Linked DNA regions of Mus musculus: regions 2 and 3 are each reported to be linked to region 1. The links are microRNA targets in miRTarBase. Many come from high-throughput screens and were not tested one by one. Region 1 holds a microRNA gene; each other region holds the end of a gene's coding sequence.

Region 1 (3,088 bases):
CCTTTGTAGACTGCAAGACTGTTGGATCAATACAAATGGGTGTCATACAGCATACAGGAAGACCACAGTCTGGGACGGCTACTTCCTACTGAATTCCACAAAGTTTGCAATCAGAGAATACTGTATATCCTCTCTGGGCTCAATTAATTAAAGGAAAGGAGAGGAAAGACTAAAGGAAAGAAATATTAGTGAAGATGGCGCAGAAATGCTGTCCCCTCAGCGCCTCCTATTCCCAATATACACAAACACGCACCCCGTTATCAGATATAAAATAGCAAAAACAAGGGGAATGTAACTGACAGAAGATATGGCTTCTCGGGCTTCTACAGACCTCATCCTTAATGTCCAAATCTACCCTTGCTTCAAGGATCTACCTGAACTCTCACCTCCTCCATGATGGTGTCTGTCAGCTCTTGTTGGCACACCTCCCACCCCCACCCATACCTGTTTTTTTCTATTAGGAAAATCTATCAGTTTAGCAACTTTATACTGTCTGGAGTAATAAATAATGTGTTCACATTTTGTTACCACCTAGACTGTCTGATGGGTAGTAAGACAAACGCCTGTTAGGTGCTGGATTTGTAACATTTAAATAAAACAGGAGCCCAAAGTGAGACTAGATATCCTCAAGGCTCACGGGGAGATCATCAAAACTGTGTCTTTGATCTTATAAGGGCCACAACTTTGACCTACCAACAAGGGTGTTGGTTCAATGTTTGACCAGAAGAGTGGCCCACACTTCACTGTATGGCCCTGTAAGAGGTAGTCCTAAGAAAGAACTTGGGTACAGGCAAGGGCAATCCTGCAGGTATGAGTGCCCAGGCCTGCTCAGGCAGGAAGGCTCCAGATGAGACGCCTGGGAAGCGGTTTCTGAGAATGGGCATATGAACAGTGAGGAGGCCTGGGGCTTCTTGGGCAATATATTGGGAAGGAGAGATGGATGTAGGTCTCTGCGCTTCTTTCTTCGATGTAGCAGTAACTACACTGTGAAGATAAACTTCTCAAGAATCTGTCTCTCCATCTCCCCGGCCCCTTCCCAGGAGGCTCTGCAGGAGCCCTCCCATTGCCCCTTCTGGTAGCTTCTGCCACCCCTCCCCCACTCGCCCCGCCCCCTCGGCCTCGGGGTTCCAAGGGCGGTTGGTCGCTGAGCCACGGTCACTCGGCCAGTAGGAGCTGCGGGGCGCGCGGGCTGGACAGAACCGGCTCTAGACTTGGGTCTGGAAGCCGTGAAGAAGTTGTTGGAGGCGGGTCAGACCCGGCTTGCGGGAAGAAGGACTCGGGCCGGATGCCCTGGGGTCCGGGCTGAGTCGGGGGTCTCGGGGGGGACGGCGGGGACAGGGGGCCTCAGCGCCTGGGGGTTCACCTGGGGTCGCGCGCGGCCCTGCTGGGTGTGGAGGGGCCTCGGGAGCCTGAGGCACCTCTCGCTCCGCCGCCCTCGCCTGTCGACCGTGGCGAAAGGGGGCGAGGGGCCCGACCCTCGGGAGCTGCAGTGGCGGGCGCCCGGTGCTCGGTTTGTAGGCAGTGTAATTAGCTGATTGTAGTGCGGTGCTGACAATCACTAACTCCACTGCCATCAAAACAAGGCACAGCATCACCCGCCGCCCGCGGGAGGAGAAGCCAGCGCTGCAGCCCCACTGACTCCGCAGAAAGCCGAGGCCGGAGCCAGGATGCGTCAGCAAAGGGCCGGGAGCACGAGGTCTAAGTGCAAGTAACCCTCGGAGACCGGCGGCCTCCTTTAGGGACCGTTCGGCTACCTGTGTGTAAGAGCCAGAGCAAAAACGGTTCAGTGATGTGTAAAGAGAATCGGTATACACCGGCCTTAACATAAAAAAAAAAAAAAAAAAAAAGGCCAGGAAGAGCCCCCCCCCCCCCCCCCCCAGAACAGTTCCTGCTGCTGCTGTGATTCACTGCCTGATTTCCACTTCTGAGAAAGCTATCACCAAGGCAGCGACTAGAGTCAACCACAGCTTGGCTGACGATTTGCTCTGGTCACACCAAAGTCTGAGAGCACCAGCTAAAGACTGCATGCTTTTTTCTGAGTCTAGTTACTAGGCAGTGTAGTTAGCTGATTGCTAATAGTACCAATCACTAACCACACAGCCAGGTAAAAAGACTGAAATTCCTCCGACTGAGCCTCCTGTGAATCGTCATTTTGGTGAGGACAGAGCCATAGGGAAATATTCTTACCATACTATTAGTGGTTTGGGGGGGGGGGGGGAACCGCTAGCCCTTAGCTGCTAAGTATACAATGTATCAATTTGTGTGGGGTACATTTTTTGTGATTTTTAGATATATTGGAAAAATAGAAATTATCCCTTAGCTGATTTGGTCATTATATTGACTTGTGATTATAAATCTTTGGACTTTGCCTGACATATTAATAACACTCTAAAAAATAAAGCGCCACGAAAATCTCAGCAATCGTGTTCATTTCCTTTCCAAAAACTGGCTTTAGGATCTCCATTTCAGCTCCTGTCAACCCCGTAAAGTCATTAAATGGTTAGTTGCTATACAGACAAAATCTCCAGGGAAACGTCTCACACATGATTGTGACCTGGAAGGGAACGTTAAATGTTTTCATAATTTTCCATGGGGCAAGGGAACTCAGCCCACTTAACCAGGTATATTTTTTAAGGTATTAACAGTTGCGTTCTAGGCAACTTTTCGTGGGAATAATTAGTGAACACGATTTAAAACCAGCTGGTTTCCTAATATCTGTAATAAAAGATTTGAGAGGTTTTAAATCACACAAGCTGTATCCACCGGTACTTCTCGGCCCAGTTCTAGATTAGCGCTTTATGCAGATGTATCAATGCAAACCTGAGAATTTCCCCAGAGGTAAGAGTGCGAAGCCTTGGCAATCTTGTCCAAAAGAGGAAGGCGCTCTTTAAAGCTCACATTATTGGGCTATCTGGGGGAGGAGGAGACGCTGGCTGAGGATCTAAGAGACAGTCCAGGACTGTACACATCACAAAGTTGAGGCTTTTACTCTTAAGGCTTGACTGGCCCCGAAAATTGTGACCTCGACAGAAGCCAGCTGCTGATGGGCCACAAGCCCTCGAGGAACCCCAGATCTACGGAAGAAGAA
Region 2 (3,088 bases), not on the chromosome of region 1:
ATCAAGTCACATCTGCATGGTGCCACATTAAGGGAGGCGCCGTGTTTACAAACAGGGATAAAGAAAGGAAGCAGAGCACAGAGGTCAGCGCTGGCCCGATCTGTCAAGGCCCTCAACAACTGTTTTCCAAGGATTCCGCTACAAGCAGCCCAAGCAGTGATTTGACTTCAACTGTGAGCCAATCACGTCTGCCCCATGAGGAAGACGTAGCTCAGTGGTACCCTGGGTAGACATGTTTGTAGCATCTACAGTGCATGTCAGGAAATTCCGTGATGAACCTTCTGAGGAAGGGAGGGAGCCTTGTGAGAAACCCACACATGCAAATAACACCTAGGAATGAGTTGTTCATGAAACAGTCAGGAGATGAGGCCATCTCCTATGGCTCTCATCTGAGAGAATTCCTCAAGACTCAATCCCACAGGCCCCCGCTGTAGGAAACAAGCCAGAGAAGCAGCAGAGAAATGGGGGCAACACAGGGAAAGGATGTGATCTCCAATGCAGCACAAGGTCGGTGGTTGATTCTGACAGAAAGCAGAGACTTCAGTACTTGCGGTCAGGCTAAACAGCTTCCTTTGAACGCCCCCCCCTAAAAGCTCGCTGACCAGGTATCTGCTCTCAAGGTATCAAACAGAATGTAGGATTTATAGCAAACTAGCCAGTTTCTTGTCACTCTGTTCCCAAAGAGAACAACCTTTAGCACCTGAACACTAAGAATGACTTCGTTCTCAGAACTCCCCCCCCCCCAGGAGGTAGGTAAGATTATTTATCCCCATTTGGCAGCTGGGGAGGAAGTGAAAGAGATATCACAAGACTCACCTTAAGCTTTGCTCATACTTCAGAAGTGTAGGACTCCTGGTGACAGGCCAGGTCTATCTATGAAGGAAATGCCACACTCATTCCCTGGGAGAAGTCTAACTACATAGCTGGGTGGACAATACCCTGAGTTGCCTTCAAGAGTCTAAAGAACCCCTCCCCACCCCATCCCAAAAAACCTTCACAAAAAAATTACTCAACCACTTTAAAGTTGGTGGGGGTGGGGGAGCCTAAATCCTAATACCCAATGGGGCCCTACAGTCCACGCTGACACTACTATGGGCTGTAGGGAAATGTGGGAATAAGACAGATGGCAGCAAATACAACCAAGATAGAAAATACTTTCTAGAAGAATCCACCAGCATACAAGGACACATCTGCTAAGATGTTACAAAGACTATTCCTAGACTTTCAGAGCTGATACTGGGAGGGCGCAACTTAGGCCGGAATGCTGAGAGGCAATGGATTGCAGTGGGAGGAAGCCGAGTAGGTCCACTGCAGTGGGAATGCCCAGCCTAGGGCTCAGTTTCTTTCTGGTTTCTCCACTATATTGCTGCCGGTGGAAGAGGACATGATTTTGAGTTTCTAAATATAAAAATTATAGCTGATAGGGAAACCAGGGACCCTTTTACACCAAAAACTAGAGGTCTTAGTGGACAAAGGCAGTGCAGCTACACATGAGGCCCAGGTCAAGACACCATGCAGAGGTCAGGCAGCAGAAGGGTAGGGGCAGTGCAGGCACTAAGGCACAACATAGACAGACAATGGAGGAGTGTAGGTGCCTAGGGGAAAGGTCCTCCAGGTCTTTCTGAAGTTACTACTACAGACTGAATGAATATCAAAGCGGGCCTGACAGGCTGGGTGGGAGTTTAGGTTAGAGGCCTTTCAAAAGCTTTGCCTAAGTCCCAACATCTATCAGTCAAATCTTTTCTCCACAGTCCCGACTGGGTTCCTGGCAAGGCAGTCCTTCATTTTCAAACCCGAAGGGGCTTCTCTCTCTCTCTCTCTCTCCTGGCCCTAAAATGCTAAAAAGCCTTATAGCGGAATGGTGAGGTGAGATGGGAACGGGCAGAAGCAAAGGACCAAGCACAGTCCCGTAGATCATGGTGCTCCCCAACCCCCAACCCCACCATAAACATCTGTAACAAAATCACCCTTTAAAGTGCACATCTCTCACAAGAAGAGTTCTGGGCGGGAACCCTCTTATTTTCAACCATTGGGCCTCCTGCCCTCCCACCACAAAGGACGGGAGGGAGACAGGAAAAAAGAAAGAAAACAGTTTTACTGCTACTATAAGCTGTGATCATCATATTTGGCTCTTTCTTTGCTTCCTCCCTCTGCCACCTGCTCCCAAAGCCTGCACTTTCCCTTGTAGGAGCCAGGGATGAGTAGGAAAAAACAGGGAGGCCCTGATTTTGGAATGTGTCTTATCCTATGTGCACTCCTACCCTTTCTTGCTCCAAGCCTGCAAGTCCCCATCTCAGCACCCTCTAAAGGTGTCCTGAGAGGGTGCCATGGGGTCACGAGCAACACACCCTGCTTTGGGAGGCTGTCTTAATGTCTGTTTCCCCCAAATCTCACTGCCAAGAGAGCCACCCTCTGCTTGGCATGTGCAAATCCTCTCGATGCTCACAGAGGCTCACCTCTGGGGAGAAAGCCCCAGTCCTGGGTTGGGAAAGAGGTTCATTTTCCTGCATTGGAACGCCCTTCGATGGACAGCTTTACCTCCTGTGGAATGAAAGAGGGACGGAGCATCGCAGCCCGTGCCTCCTCCCCTTGCATGCTGAATCTTTGGAAGCTTGGGGCTGGCCAGCAGGCCTGAGCACCAGGCTCAGGCTGGGAGGGTTCTCCCACCCGGGAACCCTCTCCTGAAGGCTGGTTCTTCCCCTCGCTGTCACATAGGTCTCTGGGCCCCAAGACTGTCCTCTCAGGCCTTTCTCGGGGTGTACCCAGCTGCCCTGGGGGAGCACAGCTGGCCTGAGATACTGAGTTACTGTTCAAGCTCTGTAAACTGATAGAGATGCAGACATCTCCCACCTGTAGCCGATGGCAGGGCAGAGAGAAGAGTTGTGCAGTCCGCCCAGGGCTGCAGGAGGACCAACCCTGGCCATATACAAAAAAAGGGTGCTCAGGGGGCACCTCAATGCTCACTTTGCTCTGCTGTTCACCAACCACGAAATGCAGCATAACAAATCCAGGCCACTGGCTCTCCTGAATGTCCACGACTGTGCTAGAGTCAATTTTCAGCCCCCCACTCACTTCCGCACTTCGCACA
Region 3 (3,088 bases), not on the chromosome of region 1:
GGTGTTCCCCTAAGCCTGTTTCTCTCTCTTTCTCTGTAGGCACCCCATACACGTCAAAGAAGAACCCCTCGACCCCGAGGAAGCTGAAGGCCCTCTGTCCTTAGTGACAACAGCCAACCACAGTCCAGATTTTGACCATGACAGAGATTACGAAGACGAACCAGTAAATGAGGACATGGAGTGAACCTCTGGGCGGGCCGACCCCCGAGACCGAAGATTGGGGAAAAAAAAGCAAAACAAATTTAAAAAAAAAATAAAAAAAGAAAGAAAGGAAAAGAAAAGAAACCACGTCAAAAGTTAGCAGTGAAACCCGCCCTCCGTTTCTTGTACAGTCTGGAGGATTTTCGCTACATTTTGACAACTCTGAAACGTGTTAACTCTTAGTGCCATCAAGAATCCCATTTGGGAGTATTTTTGATTTTTCTACTTTTTGTTGACAAAAGGGATTTGTACTCTGTGCATTGGATGGACCTGTTTGGTACTTGGGATTTTCCTCTTTGAGTCAACATCAGTGTTGTAAATTCGATAAACGGATTCACTTTTAGCAGCAGACTTTGAACTGCAGCTTCGCCCGGCTGATGCTGGGCGGGCGCCGAGGACACCCGACTGAGCTCACGTACCTGCGCTGCAGACCAAGCCTTCGCCCGAGTTCAAGACTCCAGTGGACGACCTTTTTGCACAGCGCTGCATGTTGATACCACTGCCTTTACTCACTTTGGTTTGTTTTGTTTTTGTTTTTCGCTTCCAGTTGGGATGGGGGAAGGCCTTTGTGTGTGTATTGGGGGGAGGGGTTAAAAATAATTATCCCAAATTTTTTAATGTATTGCTTTTTTTTTTTTCTTTTACTGTTTTTTTTTCTTTCTTTCTTTTTTTTTTTGGCTTCTTTACCATTTTAAGTTCTGACCTCAGGCCTCCATTTGGGCCCAGGGCCTCTTGGAGGCTTCGCGTTTTCTGTACCTTGTGATGAATGTTAATAGGCGTTTTTATTATACAGAGCTGAATGTCATTTCTCGTCTGTAGTTTTCTGGCACTCATTCCATTTTCCTATAGACATCACCATGTTTCTCTCAAGTTTAAAACAAAACAAAACAAAACATTCCGTTTTGGTCTTTTTCCAAAAAAAAAAAAAGAGAAAAGAAAAGAAAAAAAAAGATCCCAAAGGCTGCACCTTACACCTGAAGGTCCCCACACGGGGACATGACATCCTGCCAGTAAGAGAATGAATGACAGAAAAGGAAAGAGAGAAACGCACGCGCGCACACTCTAGGGACATGGCAGATTCATTTCACAAAAACAGTATTGGGGGTGGGATGGGGGACTGTTGGAGGTTTTTCTTTTTTTTCTTTTTCATAGCACCCACCATTGTGAGTAACTGCCACCACATTCTCTCAGCATCAGGAAACACAGCCACGAAAGAAACAGAAGAGAATAAACAATCCTCAATAGTTAGACTGTCACAGTGGCCATGGAAGATCTTCCCTCCTATAATCAGGTGACCAGGACCACAGGCCCTGTGCCATCCTCACCCGCACAGGTTGCTCTGTTTGCAAAATGACCAAAAAGCCAGCATGGTGACAGGGCTAAGTTTGTACAGTAGTTCAGACCTGCTCGGTGGCATTCATCTGTTTTAATGCAAATGAGACTTCACATTGAACTTGTTATGGGAGTTAATGAGGACTGAGCTCAGCAGACGCTAATGTGTCAGGTTCCAGTGTGCTAAGTCGGTACTGCAGCTTGGTCTGCAATGTGAGCACCACACCCACCACCCCAGTAGCACAGACTTCACGGAAGAGGACACCAGGTAGACAGACCAGGGCCCACAGAATGAGATGGCTCTAGGTCAATATGCCCTCGGCCCTTCAAACCCCTCCACATTTCCGTCTGCACCCGCTTCCCTGGCATGTATTTATCTGGGGCTGTAGCTTTTGTTTGGGTTTAGTTTGAGAGCCTTTCGGAGCTTAATTTATATACTTTGTACCTTTTTTTATTTCTAAAATTACCAAAGATATTACGCAAAGGTAAATTATTTTCTTTTATACTTTATCTGATGAAGCCAAATATCCTCTTATTGTTGATCAAAGGAGGCGAAAGGATTCAGAGGCAAATGATGAGGTCCAGGCTATTTGCCAACCTGAGGGAAATTACTGCCCGTCAGCAGAGTTCATTTAGCAGACTATGTAGGCAATGGAACCAAAGTTTTTTACTTTTTTTTTCCTGTTTTTTTTTTTTTTCTCTTTCCTTCTTTTCTCTACCTGTAGAGAGACCAAAACTAACTCCTATAAGGAGAAAATCCGGGGCTACTGCAGAGAAAAGAAATCAAGACAACAGTATTATAGCTCCTGTGGAAAGAATGGGCTAGCATCTCAAAGAAAAAGAAATGAATGTATGATGCTGAAAATTAGTATATAATCGAGGAGACACTTAGGATGAATTCAGAGAGAACGGAGAAGTGTCTGGCCGCTCGAGGCCACTTCTAGAATAAAGAGATTTTTAGAACATTCGTACGCCACTTTTGTTTAAGGGCTGTGCTCTGATCACTGCGTTAATCTTGGTTTATCCTGGCATTTATCCTCTGGTTTCCTTCTGCTTTTTGTTGATGTTTTGTTTTATTTTTTTCCTATTTCAGATTATGATTTGGTCAGTGTTTTTCATTTACACACAAAAAAAGCTAACATTCCCACCCACTCATAAGCTTAGAGTAGAACACCTTTGGCAATGACTTCTGAAGGTTTGCTCTGCTTTCTATAGAGGGGCGGTCTGTGGTTATTCATGCCCCCTCCACCACCACCCCACCCATCTTTTCCAGGCAGCTTCACAGTGTGCAGGCAGTAGCCAGGCCGGGTCATGGGAAGGGGGCCCTGTGCTTCTAAACTGAGTGGTTGCTGGTTAGATATACAAAAGAGGATAAAACTCTGGTAGGTTAGTTCATTCTCAGCATGTGTAGCTAGACAAGAGTAAAGATAACAGCATGGGGACTGTTAGTACGCACACCTCAGTTCAAACCTTTAGGGAATGAGTTTAAAAAAAAAATTAAAAATATACCTTTCACTCAGTCGTACTTAGTCGTATGTCTTGCATGCTTAGTCTA

The links. The annotated mature microRNA mmu-miR-34b-5p reads AGGCAGUGUAAUUAGCUGAUUGU and lies in region 1 at 1,517-1,539, shown strand. An mRNA with a match to its seed (bases 2 to 7 or 8) in the 3' UTR can be bound and repressed. Matches are read on the target gene's strand: a 7mer-m8 pairs with bases 2 to 8, a 7mer-A1 pairs with bases 2 to 7 and ends in A, and an 8mer does both.
Region 2: miRTarBase lists Atxn1l as a target of mmu-miR-34b-5p. Seed matches in the 3' UTR shown: 7mer-m8 at 1,542-1,548 and 7mer-m8 at 1,475-1,481.
Region 3: the mRNA of Foxp1 is a reported target of mmu-miR-34b-5p. Seed matches in the 3' UTR shown: 7mer-m8 at 699-705 and 7mer-A1 at 1,372-1,378.

What each region holds. Positions count from the first base shown.
Region 1 is chr9:51,102,061-51,105,148 of GRCm38, reverse strand. Mir34b (microRNA 34b) reads left to right here and starts at 1,504; the gene lies at 1,504-1,587. Mir34c (microRNA 34c) reads left to right here and starts at 2,039; the gene lies at 2,039-2,115. It overlaps Hoatz (HOATZ cilia and flagella associated protein), which reads left to right and starts at 3,071. Exons shown (of 6, transcript NM_177702.4): 1 at 3,071-3,088. It also overlaps a transcript of Btg4 not described here.
Region 2 is chr8:109,729,069-109,732,156 of GRCm38, forward strand. It overlaps Atxn1l (ataxin 1-like), which reads right to left. Exons shown (of 4, transcript NM_001080930.2): 4 at 1-3,088. The coding sequence ends at 2,497. Among named protein-coding and RNA genes, the nearest start is that of Atxn1l, 7.2 kb to the right of the region's middle.
Region 3 is chr6:98,927,186-98,930,273 of GRCm38, reverse strand. Foxp1 (forkhead box P1) reads left to right here. Exons shown (of 19, transcript NM_053202.2): 19 at 40-3,088. The coding sequence ends at 184. Among named protein-coding and RNA genes, the nearest start is that of Gm38865, 200 kb to the left of the region's middle.